2 linked regions of the Oryzias latipes genome follow. The protein of the gene in region 2 interacts with the protein of the main gene of each other region in a biochemical or structural test. Links are inferred from orthologs where the notes say so. Each region holds a gene or a part of one and is shown on either strand. Other genes may lie near its edges. The genes, in order: sema4c and disks large homolog 4.

What was found.
Region 1: the proteins of disks large homolog 4 (region 2) and sema4c form a complex in vitro, tested with the Homo sapiens proteins (2 studies listed by BioGRID and IntAct, with this or other methods). The link is inferred for Oryzias latipes from reciprocal best matches to the Homo sapiens genes DLG4 and SEMA4C.

Annotation. Positions count from the first base shown.
Region 1 is NC_019867.2:24,338,437-24,346,590, reverse strand, and holds part of sema4c (semaphorin-4C), read right to left. Parts: intron 6,914-8,154; coding exon 6,798-6,913; intron 5,875-6,797; coding exon 5,717-5,874; intron 5,015-5,716; coding exon 4,923-5,014; intron 4,766-4,922; coding exon 3,870-4,765; 3' UTR 2,441-3,869; intron 1-2,440.
Region 2 is NC_019872.2:14,404,451-14,412,604, reverse strand, and holds part of disks large homolog 4, read right to left. Parts: intron 6,262-8,154; coding exon 6,117-6,261; intron 4,778-6,116; coding exon 4,642-4,777; intron 4,513-4,641; coding exon 4,356-4,512; intron 4,254-4,355; coding exon 4,151-4,253; intron 3,776-4,150; coding exon 3,661-3,775; intron 3,074-3,660; coding exon 2,897-3,073; intron 2,807-2,896; coding exon 2,764-2,806; intron 2,689-2,763; coding exon 2,658-2,688; intron 1,328-2,657; coding exon 1,277-1,327; intron 1,160-1,276; coding exon 1,058-1,159; intron 888-1,057; coding exon 715-887; intron 1-714. UniProt on the Homo sapiens protein: Postsynaptic scaffolding protein that plays a critical role in synaptogenesis and synaptic plasticity by providing a platform for the postsynaptic clustering of crucial synaptic proteins.

The sequences.
Region 1 (8,154 bases), on a different chromosome or scaffold from region 2:
AATGCAATCCTCCGGCTGCTGGCTGCAGGCCGCGTGTGGGCTCTTTTCTTATCTGCTGCCAGGAAAGCAGCTTCTCTGACGCACCTGTCCCCCCAAGGCATTTCATAAAAAAACCCCCAATGTACTAGGACATCTTTGACGAGAGGCTGACCGGTCACAAAGCACCCAATACATGACAAGAACTCGAGTCTACAACCACAGATGGAGCGCAGGAGCAGCTCACGCTGACAGAAAATGCAGTTGTTTGGTGTTTAATGCTTTTGCTAATACAAAAACCTGTCTGGAATTCTAGGAAAATTATGACAATAACCCTTCATGGAGGAAAACCCTTTTAAATGACGACAGGTGAGGCTGTCGAAGCTGGAAGCAGCACACATTGTTCCACATTAAAAAATAAATAAATAAAATGCATTCAGTCTATAAAGACCCATTGGTGAAAATTGTGTTTTTAACGTGTTCTTGAGGCATTTTTCTGATGATGGAGGACATTTATAAAGAATATTAGGTATTCCTTTATATAAATGATTGAAATCATCAATGTAAATGCGTGTTTCAGGCTTCCACGATCAAAACCTTTCGGGCTCTACGTACAAAACGCATGGCCATTGCACATCCAGGTCAAAAATCGACCAATCAGAGACTTGGATGTGGTAGTGACGTATGGATGATTGGCCCCGGGAGAGGTGGCCATAATTCAGGGCACAGCTCCTGGAGCAAGCAGTGAAATTCACCAAACTCAGGGTGTAGCTGGTTTATCTGGTGAACACATACATCGATGAGCCTATTTTTGTTTTTTAAATAAAGATAAACCAAGGCCACTCTCCTGATATGGCAGTAATCACTGTCAATCATTGCAAGGATGCTTGCAATGAACCGAACCGTTTCCATTTTGTGCCCAAATCGTGGGATTTGAACCTCTCCGACATTTAGCACCAAGCCTATTCCAACTGTAGGTGGCGGACATGCACTAGTAAAAAAAAGAAAAAGACGAAGTCCCGCCCTGCTTGTCCAGTGTAAACACCATGGGCTGAATGTGTGTTTGATGCACAAAAATGCCTGGTGTGTACGTAGTTTTATGTTGCAGCCGTGAGGGGCTGTCAGGTAGCGGAAGGGCATGTAAACAGAGAGCTATCAGCTATAAGGAAGGGTTGCTCTGCATCAACAGTCCCACCCACAGCTCAGAGGTAAATTTATAATGAAGTACTGCCGCTCTGCAGAAACGATAACACAGATTTATTTTCAATTTTGGCTAAAAACTGCACAATCATGATTAAAAGACCACTAGGAATGATTTAAAAATAGATCCAAAGACGATTAGAGTGAGACTTTAAACTTTTAACTGGAACAAGAGATAAGAAGTGGCAGCTTTTAAGTCAAAAGTACAAACAGAGCGGGCTTCATGGACAGAGACGCTCAAAAAAACAGAAGAGGCCGCCTGAGAGGAAAAGAGCTTCCACAGTGTACACCGCTGGCTCTCCTCCATCAAGCTTTTACCATGAAACTGTCGTCACCTGTTACCAGCGTGAAACAAAGAACCCAACATGCAGCTGGTTTCAGAAACACTAGCTGTGTCATTTTCTGAGGAGACTGGTTTCAAAATAGGAGAAGCTGCAATGCACAGGTGAGTGCAGCTCAACCAAAAAGGCTTTTCTCTGTGAGTTATCAAGTTATTGAAGAATACATCAAAGAAAAAGGTGTTTAATCAAATTAAAAATAAAATATAGCTTCACAATTTATAATGTTATCTTTTAAAAAAAATATTTTAAAGCTTTGAAATAATTCAAATTAAAAGCTAAATTAGAACAGTTTATGTAAGAAAACTATGTAAAAAAAAAAAGAAATTTAAGTACGAATCAATGAAAAATACAAGAAATTTGAAAAAGATAAAACTTTAGAGAATTTGGAGCTCTGTGGAATGATGTTAAATAAAACATTTGATAAAAATAAGACCATAGTTCTGATTCTATTATTTACATTCTGACTTTAAAGTCCCACTCTAATTATCTTTTAATCTATAGTAAACGTTTTCCCAGTGGTTTTTTAATTCTGATTATGTTATTTTTGGGCAAAATAAAAAACACTGGTGTTTTCTAGGACAGAGAAGCAGTAGTTCATTACAGATTTACCTTTGAGTTGGGAGCAGGACTGTTGGCACAACTCACAACATTTTAATAAAGAAATACTCAGAAATGCAATTTTTACTTCTTTGTCTTTCTGTCCATAGTAAGAAAAATGCCCCAAAAACATGTTAAAAAAACATCAACTCAATTTTCATCGGAGTGGGTCTTCAATTTCAGGGATTCCTTAAAAAACAGTCAGAATTTCTGAAGAAATTTGTCTTTGTTGAGCTTATTCCTCTTCTTTCGAGTTCTTTAGTGTCAAAAACCATTTGGATTATATAAACTATGTAAAAAAAAAAAAAGAAAGGCAGGGAAATTACCTCTGCTTTTTTCAGATCCACAGCTGCTTCCTGCCTGGACCAAGTCAATTCTCAGCATGGCAGCAATCAGTCCGCTCTTCTACCAAACTGGGTCTGTGTTCTTTTTGTGTTGGTGTGTGTTACAGTGAATCTTCCACTGTATAAATCCACAGTAGCTCCGGGTCAGTCTCTGGGAGTCAGAAGGAAGGGGGTTCATGGACTTTAAAGGTGCATCACAATCGCGCTGTTGTACCCAAAATGCCAGGTACTACATTGTGTGTTTGTGTCTGTGTGTGTCGGAGTGGTAGTTTCCTTCTTGGCAGTGCAAGTACCCACCCCCACTGACAGCGTTACATATAAAGCACTTAATGAAACATCCACAGCGGTCACGACGATGAGGGTTCGACTACATTCTTTGCGCCTAATGTCTTCATGTCTTCTTCAGTTTGGAATCAACTGTGCAAGAATTGTGACGCCGCTCGGCACCAAACAGCTTCTCTTTTCCCGAGCAGGCGAAAGAGCATCCAAAAACAGCGACCCACCCCGCCGTGCGTTGGACTAGAAGGGCGGCGTGCAGGACTGAGCGAGTCCCCCCAGCCAAAAAAAAGTCAGTCTTTTGCAAAACTCTGGAAACACCGGTGTCGTTCGTAAGACAGAGGGGAAAGAAGCACAACAAGAAACATCTTAATTCAAACTATCACATCAAATCAAAGCGGTAATAAAACATAGGAAAGGGGGCGGGTATTTCATATAGGTACAAAGTCTTTAAAGATTGTCCTTCATTGAGAAATCCTCGTTTATGTCCTTTTTCTCCAGTTCACTTCTCCGCCGTTTTTGCCTGTCTCTGTTCTCCTTTCTGTCCCACCCAGGAGCTCCTGTCACGGGGACATGATTGTCGACTTGCCTGGAGATTCATTAGTCTTTGGAGTCTCCAACTACATTCCCCTCCTGGCTCACTAGTACAAAACAAGGGAGGAAGACATGCTTCCATTTTTGTAAGTGCAGTAAAAGTCTCAAAGGAATCCCTTCCATATTCCAGGAGGTTGCCCAGTTTCCTTGTAGGTGGAGGGCTCAACTTAAGAGAGAAACAAAAAAAAACACCCTTCAGTTCGGTTTCCATGCTTGAGGTGATCTCCTCTGTGTTCATCCTTTTTTAAATACAAAATTTACACAAGTGGCAGTCGCACAGTGGAAGCAGAAAAACCGTGACGGCGTGTCGCCAAAGACACGGTAATCGTGAGAGCGCATGTCGCCGAGTGCGGAGTGCAGACGTGTGGTTTCAACATGCTGTGTGCCAGAAATGTCTACAGGAGCCAAACAGGTGTTGGCGGAAAAGAAGAGACGGCATGGGAGTCGACGGCGTGTCACTAACGGAGAGCAGGCGTCCTCAAAAGGAGGGAGGTAGGTCGGTTGTTTTTGTTTTCCAACTGGGTGGAGGCGGAGGAGGCGCCTACACGGACGACTCCTCTGGGTTTGCATCGGGCAGGACGCTTCTCTGCTGCAGGGTGCGTCTCAGCTCCTCCTTGAAGGGGCTCGAGTAGTCGTTCCCGCTCACGCCCAGCCCTCCCAACCCGCCGCCCCCAGCACCAGCCCCACTAGCCCTCTCCTCCCCTGCTGTGCTCAAGTTGAGGCGGATGTAGCCGTTGCTACCGGAGCCTCGAATGTTGGTGAGGCTGAGACGGCTGGGGGAGTGGATGGGCTGGCCGGGTATGGCGCTGGGCGACGCCGTGCTGCTGACGCTGCTGGGGCCTAGGGCGTGGCCGGGGACGATCTTCAACGAGCCGTCAGAGTAGTAGTAGTTTGCACCCGTCTCCCAGAACCGGTCTTCATCGGTGGGCATCTTGCTTGGGACAAATGTGGGCGGGTCTTTGGGCAGCGTGATTGGGTAGACCAGGGTGCTTTCGAGTGGCTTCATGTCAGCCCCCTTCCCGAGCGCCAGCTTCAGCCTCCTGCGCAGGTAGAGAGCCGCCACAAGGAGCAGCAGGCACGCCGCCCCCAGTGTGATGACCAGCACCCAGAAGAGGCCCATGCTGCTGTCTGGCGCCCGGGCTTCCATGAACACCGGAGCGCTGGCGACCACCGCCACCTGATAGCGCTCCGTCTGGAACTTGACCCCCTGCTCCTCAGAGTAGCAGACGTATCGGCCCGCTTGCATCTGCCCCGCCTCTGGGATCACGAGAGCCTTTAGGGTTCTGTCGAAGCGTGGCCCTCGTGCCTCCGAGTCCCCCAGCTGGAGCTCACGGTCATTGAGGACCCAGCATGGCTGCGCCAGGTTTGACACCAGCTGACAGGGAAGCATCATGTCCGACCCCACGACCACCGTAACGTTTCTGAGGCGGGAGTGCTCTGTGGGGGTTGGAGAAGAGGGGGGAGTAAGGTCAAGAGAAGAAAACATTTTTTTTTTAGCTATAATCAACTGCTCTTTCTACACATGCGGTGCAGTGCATGTATTGACAGCTCACTACCACTAGGGGCCACTAGTGAGTTGCAGCCTTGTCCTCACCGGGGCTGGGAATGGATACCGGCTTATCGAACTTGGCTTTTCCACGACTGAACCGATCCAGCATGAGGTCCTGTGAGAGGGAGGAGGTGGACCTGGAGACAAGAAGAGGAGATTTAGCTTTCTTATTTTTCATTTTTTACATGAACTAAGAATGAGCTGGACATTCATACTGAGCAGAGGAGACAGAGTCTGACTTCCTTTAGAAAAATAAGACACTGATTTGTATTTAACTCTCTGAGGAATGTTTCCAGTACCTTGTTAAATCTGTGCCACCAACTAAAATTACATAGGAACTAATTAAGTGAATTTTTAAACATTTTTCAGACCACAAAACGCACTTAAAATCCTTGAATTTTGTTCAATAATAGACAGTCCGCCTTATAATCCGGTCCGCCTTAAATATGAATTCCCGTTGTGCTTGCTGACCTTAAGATTTTCTGTGGTACACGGCGCTCAAAAATCTGTTAAAAGGTTTGACTTTGGTAAACAGTGAAGCCGCACTTTTTGATGATGGATTGTAGAAGCATTATGGGTACTGTAGTCAGGAGCCTGGAGGAGTGATACATTTTGTGCTTCAACTGTTTGTGAATGAATGAATAAAGTTTGACTTATCTGACAGTTTTGTTTTGCTTGATGCACCAAGACATGTTACTAAAAAGAGCCTCCGGGGCCTCAGGTTGTAGACCCCTGATCTAAATATGGGATTTCAAGGCTTCACTTGTCCATAAGGAACCTCCATAGCAACAGGATTCCCCTCGATATATCAAGTACACGAGAGGCCGAACGGGTCTCACCCTCGGTGAAGGTCGATGCGGACGCAGGCTCGCCCCTCGTTGTCCCAGGCGCAGTAGGGGTCCCTGGCGAGCAGACAGTCCGGCTGAGACTGATAGCGGCTGCAGTTGGCCAAGGGCAGCTGCAGGACCTCAGAGCGGGAGCCGATGTACAAGTACTTCTGCGGAGAAACGGCAGAAAGAAACGTGAGAGAAGGACAGATGAGGCGGAGGGGGAGTCCACCAAAAACCAGAGTGCCGGAGAGATGGGCGAGGAAAGATAAACAGCGAGGGACGGAGTTATGGGTTGGAGGAGATAATGGGATAATCACTCTCAATTACATTAACATGCAGCCTCTGACCTTCTTCCAATCCAATCTGGTTTGCGCCTTTTTTTTTTTTTGTGCAAAAGCGGTCATAAAATATTTCTGTCGCGGCTAAGCCCGCATTAACGAGATAAGCGGAGGGCTTTAGCACTGAGAACACGCAGCTAAAAGACCATCGATCCACAGACGCCATGCTGCATGACTGCAGGGACACATGAGACCAGCTGATGAGACAATTTCTCTGCTGCAGGAAACCATCAAAGAAATGAGGATACTTCTAAGATATTTGGGGATTTTCTAGTAGAACCTCCAAGAAACCAATTTAACTAAAGAGTTGGGACTATTTTGTGCGTTTTCATGACAGAGACATAAGTCTCATCTCTGAGAGAGACAGAAAGTTGAACACACAGAGATGACCATGCTGAGCCGCGGCGCTGCTGCAGAATGAGCTTCTCTGCTGCAGTAAATAAAAACTCTATTTGGAAGTAAATGAAGGTGAGAGGTTTTAGAGCGGCACTGCAGTGATTTAAGCCATTGCCAAGCTCCGCCCCCCCCCCTCCCCATCCTCTTCAAACCCTCCTCAATCCAAAGCAATAAAAAGGAGTCAGGGTCATGTTTTTTTCCTAAAAAAAACTGACACTGGATATTTACGCGAAGAAACCCACAGCTATTCAAGAACATTCCAGAGTTGACACAACACATTCCTCAGCAAACAAAATATCCTTCCCCGCATTTCGGAGCTGATCTGTGTGCGTCAGTGCCAGGAGTGTTTTGGTTACCTTAGAGTGGGAGATGGTCAGGCTGTCCACAGGCTGCGCTGTCTCAAACAGCTGGATCTCCTCGATCACGTGCGCCTCAGAGCCCAGGATCACCACCCTCTGCAGCCAGCCCTCCTCTGCAACACACAGGGGAACCATGAGACGGGCTTTGTGCGAAACAGAGATACAGCACAGCCGGTTGACTCGAGCACCAAACAGTTTAATTAGGCATAAACACATTACTGAACACAGGCTGTCGGAGCATACAGCTGTCATTTGTAGTGGTTATATTTGCTGGATGTTTTTCCCTTCTGTCTGGATTAAAGCTGAGTTCATATGTGGCCACTTCTCTGCACGATGGAGCTTTGAGCTGCATTCACGGGTCGCTTGGTGAACTGTGTTCTTCGACAGTGGCTTTTGGAGGTTTTTCTGGGCTCATGCAGGGGTTTCCATTACAGACACCTGCCTGTTTCTAACACCTGACCTCTCTACAAACCCAAATATCCACTATAGATTGCAGCCTGAGCGCCTCCACAAGAGTTTTTCCTGTCTTTTTTGGGTTTTGAATATAATGTGCCAAAGAGGACAAGGTGTCGAAAATCTGCACACTTTCAGGGAAAAAACTAATTTCCAACTGCTTGTAGGCGGAGAAATGAACCTCTGCATATCTATTTTTCTCTCCAGGACACTTTTTTCCTTTTTTTTTTTTTCATAATCAGTCATGCCTCTGACCTCGCGTGAAATAACCTCATTATAGCTGCCAGATGCTCCTCCAGGTGTTCCAATATAGTTCCGCTATTCTAGCAGCCTTTTGTCACTCGGCTACCTGCTTTTCTGTGATGCGCTGCATCAATCAAAACATCTGAACTAATGACTCCTGATTGCATTTAGTCGTATAGAAGAGGCTTTATTTTACATTATATTTTACAAATGGAATAACAAAAAAAGGTATGAAGAAGGTTGAAAAAATAATTTAGAGACTCAAATAAGAGGCTTTTTTTTTAGAATAATTTAAGATGGGAATTACATAAAAAATAAATAAGATTAAAGCAGCGGGCGACAATGTCCCACAGGTGCAACCCACCCCTGCCCTAGCTGCCCCCCCACCCTTTTTTTACCTGCCCCCACTGGCTAAGCAGCAGGCGGCGCCCCTACCCTCTCCCCTTTCTGTAAAAAAATGTCTGAGCAATAGACAAATGGCATTTTTGCAAGCTCGCTATTTTAATGCCGTTCAGAATCTACAACTTTTAAATCCAACAATTTTTCTCAATAATGCTGGAAGACTTGTGGTTCTAGACTTAATCTTGTGTCATGTTTGGGAAATTACATGAAGATTGTTTAAAAACAATTTTTGTTTCCTAAATTGCGGGAAAATGTG
Region 2 (8,154 bases):
TTTTACTTAAATTAGTCTTTACTTTGCAAGTCAATGTTGATTCAGGCAATTGATTTCAGTGTCATTTATTGTATTTTTGTAGGCAATCAATTGCTTTTAGTTACCTTTTTGATGTAAGGATTTATATTTTTCTAGAAAGAGTTCCACTTTTTGACCCGCTTTTTTAGTTAACTTTAGTGGATGGTTTGTTTTTCCGTATTTTGTGCAGGCAGCCTGTAGCTCCTGCCAGAGGTTCTGCCCACTCACAGCTGCTTGCATTTGGTTAATTTTATATTTTGTATTTGAGGTTCCCCTTCCTTTGTGTGTTTGGTTGTTCTCCATGTTACTTTGCTCTAGTGTTATCCACCACTCTGTGTTAATTTAATGTCCTAGTTTCTGGGTCTCCTTTGTTTGTTTTGATTTTTTAAAATTTAATTTGTCCTTCAATTGACTCAACTGTCAAATGGAGTATTTTGCTGCACTTGGGTCTCCACCTGTTTGCCCACTGTAACAGATTTCTTCAGTTTGTGTTACTAGTTATGTGTAACGTTTTTCTTAACCAAATAGAGTTGGTTTTGAATGATTAAAAAAAAATTTGATAATGAATAAAATTGGTCTTTCAAATTGATTTAGTATTTTAGTATGTGGTATCCAACCAAACACTGTATGTGTTTTGAAGCAGTTATCCATAACTCATACAGATAGTTTTGAATCAACAAATAAGTTAATAGGCACCTGTTCTGCCACCTCTCGGACGCTCTGAACGCTGGTGCCATACAAGTGACTGTTGTACTGGCCAGCCTCTATGAATCTATGGCTTTGGATATCTTTCTCCATCTGTTCCCGTGACGACACAAAATGGTAATCTCTTCCATCCACTTCATAGTCCCTCTTAGGCCTCGTAGTGTCTGTCAAACACAGTAAAAAAAACAGAATGGTACATTTTATATATGCTATAGCAAATGTCAAAAATAAAGCTATTGCTTTTCTGCAGACATCTTGCTCAAGCTGCAGCAGACATGTCATTTAAAAAGTGAGAAACAGGTCAGTCTCCGTGAGTGACAGCACAATTACTCACGAGGGACGCAGGATCCAAACTTATCAGGGAACTCAGACAACAGGTCGTCATTTATCCTGTCCTTCACCGGACCCAGAATGATAATGGGCCTCGCATAATGTACTTATCACGAGGGAAAAGAACAAAAAGAGAGCAGGATTAGACACAAAAGAGGAATCATAACAGAGATTTTATTTGATGCTGAAATGGAGTTTCAAACATTTCACTCCACAGCCTTACCTTCCACTTGAGTGACCGTCTCATAACTTTGTGACATTTTCTTATCTCTCCCTGTTGGCGGAATATAATTGAATTTAGTTTCAGGTTTAAAGTAACTTTTGGGTTTTATATTTGCAAATTAGCATCTTCATAAATCTATGTGAACGTGGCTGTATTTGACTTATGCCAACTAAAAGCAAATCCATCCATTCAAGCTCTTATTCACAAGCACCCGTTTAGGTTGGGTTGACCCTCATGGGTGCTGTGGGTTGTCCGGGCCCGTAGAGGGTCCTAGTGGCTGCATCTTAAGGTCAGCACAGGTGTGTCTTTTAGTTCCCTTGTGGCTCATGCAGCCACCTTAAGGGGGATCATGAAAATGAAACATACGATTATCGAGCATGTGTTACCGTGAAATATTTGTAAGGATAATGTAAGTTACAAACACTCATGATGTCGTGCAGTGCCCTTCCGCAGCACTCCAGTCGTTAGTACGTTGCGAGTACTGCTTCCTTACTAACCTTGCTGCACGCACAGGGAGTGCAGGTGATGCAAAAGGACGCCCAGGAAAACTACGCTCTGATTGTCTAACAGCCAGGCTACGAACAACGGGCGCACACATATAACTTGAACATCACTAACGAGCCCCATGCAGAAAGCGTAGGGTTCAGGGAGGTTGAGAAAAAAGAAAAAATCCTACCATTGTGCCTGCGTCTGACCTACTTCAACCTTACTAACCTATAACCTGTAAGGGCATTTGTCAATAAGGCATTTCATATCTCTCCAGTTTAGAAAGAAAATAGACTGAATGAGAACATTTTAAACTTCTTAGTAGTTAAAAAAAATCTACAAAGTTTAACAGCAGAGAACATGGGCTTTCTCTAAATTTAATTAATTGATGTCTAAGTTATACATTTTTCTTTGTAAAGGAAAAGAAGTTTGCATGAAGTTTAGGGCTGAAAAGTGGTTCCACTCCCATCCATCCACCCATTTTCTTAACCTGCTTTAGCCCTTTTGGGGCCACGGGGTTGCCAGAACCTAACCAGGCTTCAGTTGGTAGAAAGTGGAGTACACCCTGGACAGGTCACCAGCCTGTTGTTGAACCACACAATCACACACGCATACATACTCAGAGTCACACCTAAGGACAATCTGGAGTAATCAATCAACCTATGAAGCATGTTTTTGGACAGTGGGAGGAAGCCGGAGTGCCTGGAGAAAACCCACACATGCACAAGGAGAACATGCAAATTGCACAGAGACAGGACCCGTTAGGATTTAAACCAGGGGCTTCCCACTGTGAGGTGAAGGCGCTAACCACTGCTCCACTCTGGTTCCACTCCCACTCTGACACTTTAATATGGTATATTCTAGCATATAGTGAGGTTTTGTTTCAATTCATCACCTTGAGTGCTCAAGCTGTCTCGACCATGATCCTGCAACAAAGAGAAGATGTCAGATTTACACACAGAAGGACAGATTGGAGCAAGAGTTTCAGAGAACAAACATACCCTCTCTTTGGTGTTTCCACGAGACCAGTCTTTCCTTTCCACTCTGCAAACAGGGATGAGGAGGAATAACAAAACAATCACAACAGAGATTTAAATGTAACTTTATTGAGATGGGATTTTTCAGGAGTTGTACCTGTGCTTGCTGGGAATGAAGCCGACCTCCTCTGCCTCGTTCTGGGGACTGACCCTGCGGGCTTGCCACCACTCTTCGTCCCCGCAGTCTAACACATGCAGCACGTCCCCAAACCGAAAACTAAGAGCTTGACTGAGGAAGCCACAGTCTGCAGTCTTGTCATAGTCAAAAAGAGCCCTAAAACATGGAAAAAAAAGGAACAATGTTTTTCATTTACAAGTATTCCTAACAGCAAATATGTTACACCTTAAGTGCTTCCAATGCCATATTGAATTCTAAACCACTTTAATACCATTTTTCTTTGCTGAAGAATATGAGAATTCCTGGCGCACCCTAAAGGGCCTTAAGTAAACCTACATATTGTCCTTAAAATTTTTTATTTGATCTAAGTTAGGGATGTGCAACTTCAGACCTCGAGGGCCTGTGTGTCTGCATGATTTCCAGATATACAAGCCCCACTCATGACTGATTACCTGGTTCAGATGTGTCCAGCCAATTAGAACATGCCAGAGCAGGGATTGTTGGAAAACATGCAGAAATGTGGCCCTCGAGGCCTGGAGTTGCCCATCTCTAATCTAAGTTGATACAATTCTTTCACATACATATATAAGGAATTTTATTTCTTTACATGACATTATTATAAGTTTTCAGTAAATAGAAACACAACCATTTTTGTCCAAAGGCAGTGGACTTCTCCCTGCAGAAGTAAGCTGCTGTATCGGAATGACTGTGTTTTGTGCTGTTTTCATTTTGCGGTGTGAGACCTGATATAGAAGCCTCTCTTTGGGTTACTCCTCAAAGTTGTTGTTCCAGAGCCCATGCTGCTGTTCATTAGCTGTTCCCTCAGGTCGTGGATTTTTGCCTCAAAGCGGCTGTACTCTGTAGCAGAGAAGACACAAACATTTTGAGACAGACAAGTTTTACATTTCACACTCTAAATGATCACTTGTTATGTGCGTTATCATATTGGTTAGAAAGGTTTTATTTATAAGATATTAAATCATTTTTTATTTCATAAAAGAAAGTATTACAGTCTTGATATGAAAACTAAAAAATGTTACTTAATTTCAACATGAATTTTATTTTAAAATCAGACTCTATGAGATGAAAAAAAATCCCTGCAACATAAACCGTCAGATATTGAAGCCAGGTTTTAGTGGAGTGTAAAAGACATGTTGGCACAGTTATTGACAGGAAACAGCTTTTTAAAATTCTCTCAATGTGCAAGCACATATGCAGAGTTTGTGGTTGTACCATCTGGTCTGTACTGAGCGACGATGGTTACAGTCTGGCCCGCGTTCTTCAGTGCAGCAGCGGCCTGCTCATGTGTGGCCATACGCAGATCCACACCATTTACCTGTTACACACACACACACACACACACACACACACAAAGCAGGAGTGTTTAAGGCCACAGCTAAAGCTATTCCCTAGAATAGATGAGTCAAAGTGTTCTTACACTAAGGATCTGATCGCCTTTGTGAAGTTCCCCGCTGAGGTCTGCTGGCCCTCCAGCCAGGATGAAGGAAATGAAGATACCCTCTCCATCCTCACCTCCAACAATGTTGAATCCCAGACCTGTGGAACCTCTGTGGATCAAAATCCGACGAGGTTCTCTGAAACGATGAAAAGAGGACAATTGGAACTCCTGATAATCAACTATACTCCATTCCTTTGCTAACGCTCCTACTAAAACATCAATCATTATGTCTAGCAAATGTTTTGTTTTAAACAATGATCCTCACCTCGGGATGTCATCGTCTCCCATCATGCCATGCAGAACAGGAGAAAACCGACTTGGCGAGGTTGGAGTGAGGGCTTGTGGGTAATCGGATCCAAGATAACCGGGGTGGCTGAGTTCAGTGTCCATATGGGAATATGCTGAAGGAACACACAAGACATTTTCGGATTTTGGGGGCAATTATTGTACCTGGTACTTGTTCAGCACATATTAAATAAACAAAAAGTTCAATTCAAAGCATTGTTATAAGAGGGGTTCTTTTTGAAGGCACAGAATATTTTTCCACTGAAAGTTTTGAGCCTGTTTTGCATGACAAATGTGTAGTCCTGAATACATCAAGGATTTCTTTTTTAGAGCTTCTTAAATAACGGGGAGATTTGAAGACTGTTTCAAAACATTTCTATGCCTAACCACTCACTAACACTTCAAACTCACTTGCAGCTCACTGCCTTTCTTTGACACAGTTTTGACATTTTTGTGGATAGAACAGTGACCCTGCGACAGACTGGCGAACTGCCCAAGGGTGTACATCGCTGTCACCCAACAGTAGCTGGGATAGGCTCCAGCAGCCCTGTGACCCCCCAATGATGGAAATTAAGCAGGTTTAGGAAATAAATGGATGGATGGATGGATGGATGGATGGATGGATGGATGGATGGATGGATGGATGGATGGATGGATGGATGAGGAATAAAACATGTAAATCTCTAAAAGTGTTATTTTCTTTGGTATCAAATGGGTTTTTAGTTGTTCCTGCGGCTTTGCCACAAAAACAAATTAAAAAAATGACATATATTTTAAGTCAACTTATCCATCTTTATCTGCACTTTACTTTGAAATAGTCACTTGACTGCTGTGAAGCTTAATTATAGTTGTTGTTACTAGATGTGGTCAGCTGGAGGAATCTGACAGGTTAAACTGCTCTAAATGCTCCCCGGGGTTAAATCCGCCTCATTTTTGGCTTCAGCTTTTTGATTTACTTGTTGTTTCCTGTTACTCCCTTTTTCTCATGTTGTGCATTTGTTCCGTCTCTACTATAAAAGCTTTTCCATATGAATTGGCTTTTATTTCTTGCTGTTTTCTTTCATGTGTGTTACAGTCTATATATATATATATATATATATTGTGTTTCTTTATAGCTTTTTGTTCTGTTTTTTGCAGGATGAATGATTTTTATTTTAGTCTTACAATTGTTATAAGCTCTTTTCCTGGACTTATTTGAATTTTTGTTCTTCCATTTTTCATGTAATAATGATGCTTCACTGTAACAGTTTTGTGATTCTGGAAACATGTAAAGGTAAAAAAGCAATACGTTTCATTGATGTTCATTATTTTTCTACGAAGAAAGAAATAATAGAAGACAGAAAAAAGTATTTTATGTTTTCTTTTAAAAACTATTTTATTGTAAAATAAAGACATTTGTTATTGTTTTTCGGGACACCCGAAGTGTCTCTAGAAAACATTCAGGCAAAGGCTTACTGCTGGTGAGGTCTGGAGGGTTGTAGGAGTTGGTTAGGAAGAGGTTGTTGGGCTTGGCCACCCTGAGGTAAACCACCTCGGCTGTGTTTTTCAGAGCCCCCACCGCGTCCTCGTGCATCACATCCTCCAAACACACGTTGTTCACCTGAGAGACGAAGACAAGTTAACCATGTTATTAACAAACAGAATCCATTACCTCTTTAGTAACTGTTTAACAGCTTGGAAGTGATGAAAACTGTATGATGTGCTATAAACTGGAACTACTGCAAAGGAATAAATAAATGAGAATTAGTCGGAACATCAGAAAATAACAACTCTGAAAAGAATTTAATAATAAACATTTTTTAATAATATTATAAAAAGTATTTTCTTAAAAGTAACAACTGATGTAAACTAAAACAATCGACAGAACTGTTTGTTTAAAATGTACTCTATACTTTTAAAGACATATAAAGTGCCCTTTTCTTTAATTGGCCTAATAATGATGCCAATAATTTGAGGTGCATTTTTCCAAGTCCTAAATCTAAATCCAATCCAAATCCAAAAAGACTTTTTTCACTGGCTTTTAGTACAAAATCTTTATTTATTTATCTAGAACATTTTTTAACTTTATTAGAAGTTCTTTTTGCTGGGTGTGACTTTTCTTTTGTTTGATATATTTATTTATTTTTGCCTAGTTTAATGACAGTGGCTCTGGGAACGAGACAGGAAGCAAAGCTGGAAATAGCAGAGATGAAGATGTTGAGGTTTTCTCTGATTGTGATGAGGATGGAAAGGATCATCAGTGAATCCATCAGATAAACAGATCATGTTAGATGTTTTGGAGATAAATGCAGGGAAGCAGATTGAGATGGTTTTGACATGTTGAGAGATGGAACTGGTCAGACTCCTTTCGTGGTGAAAGGAGTCTGAGATTTGGAGCTGCAGGAAAAAGGCCAAAAAGGAGGTTGATGGGTGTAGGATATGAGGATGGTTGGTTTGAGCAAGAAGGAGGCAGAGAGGATTAGATGAAAGCAGATGATTCGCTGTGGCAACACCTGTAGGTAGCAGCCAAATTGCAAAGAGAACATATTTATGTATTTAAAATCACATTCACACAGAACCCTCAATATATACTGTAGATGACGTCAGAGATCATCCTTAGTTTTATTGGTGTGTTAAAAAAAAAAAAAATTTAACCACTACGTCTTTTTTTCTCTTTTTTTTGTTGCATCCAGGTCTTTAAAAATGAGTCTTGCAACTCAGTATCACCAGTCTTAAACATTAGTTCATGTCTTAGACCAGATGCATTTTATTTGGATATTGGAAACGTTGAATCTATCGTTTGTTTTATTTCATTGGTTTATTTGACAGGGACATTGCACATTAAAACACATCTCTGCAAATGTACCAGAGTTAAAAAAGATTATTTTTGATTTTTTGTCCCTAGAAAGGTGGTGCATTTGTCTTCCCAAAAGCGAAGTGAAGTAATCTTGGGAAATGTTCCTCTTTTTTAAATATGATCACAACTCAGTGAATTTGAGTTTTTCCCCATCTTAAAAGCAGCAGGGTTATCTATCGTTCATTAACAATTAATTACCTAAAGTAAAATTTAAAAAGCTGTACATTTTGTAATTAAATGTGCTAAAAAAAATTAAAAAGTGAAGAGCTAAATGTATCCCATTGCTTTATATGTAATACTGTAATGTAAAGGCAGAGGTGGACTAGCAAGGAGCATATTTGTACATCTATCAACAATGCTGCAGAAAGAAAGGCTCCTGAACTGTGATGTTGCAAACATATAAACACGCAGGGGAAATGAAACTGTACAAACATATGTTTATGTGTTTGTACAGATTAATCTCCCCTACTAAAGGTAAAGGTTTAAAAGACACCATTTAGTGGGCAGGAAGCACCATTTTGAGGAAAACAGCTGTTGTGAGTCTCGGTGTTGTCCAGTAGATGGCAGCAAAGACATTGCAGTCAGAGATTTATCAGATGGTTTGCGTTTTTTAACTGGCTAAGGAAAGCAAAAGAAATTATAGTTTTAATAATATGG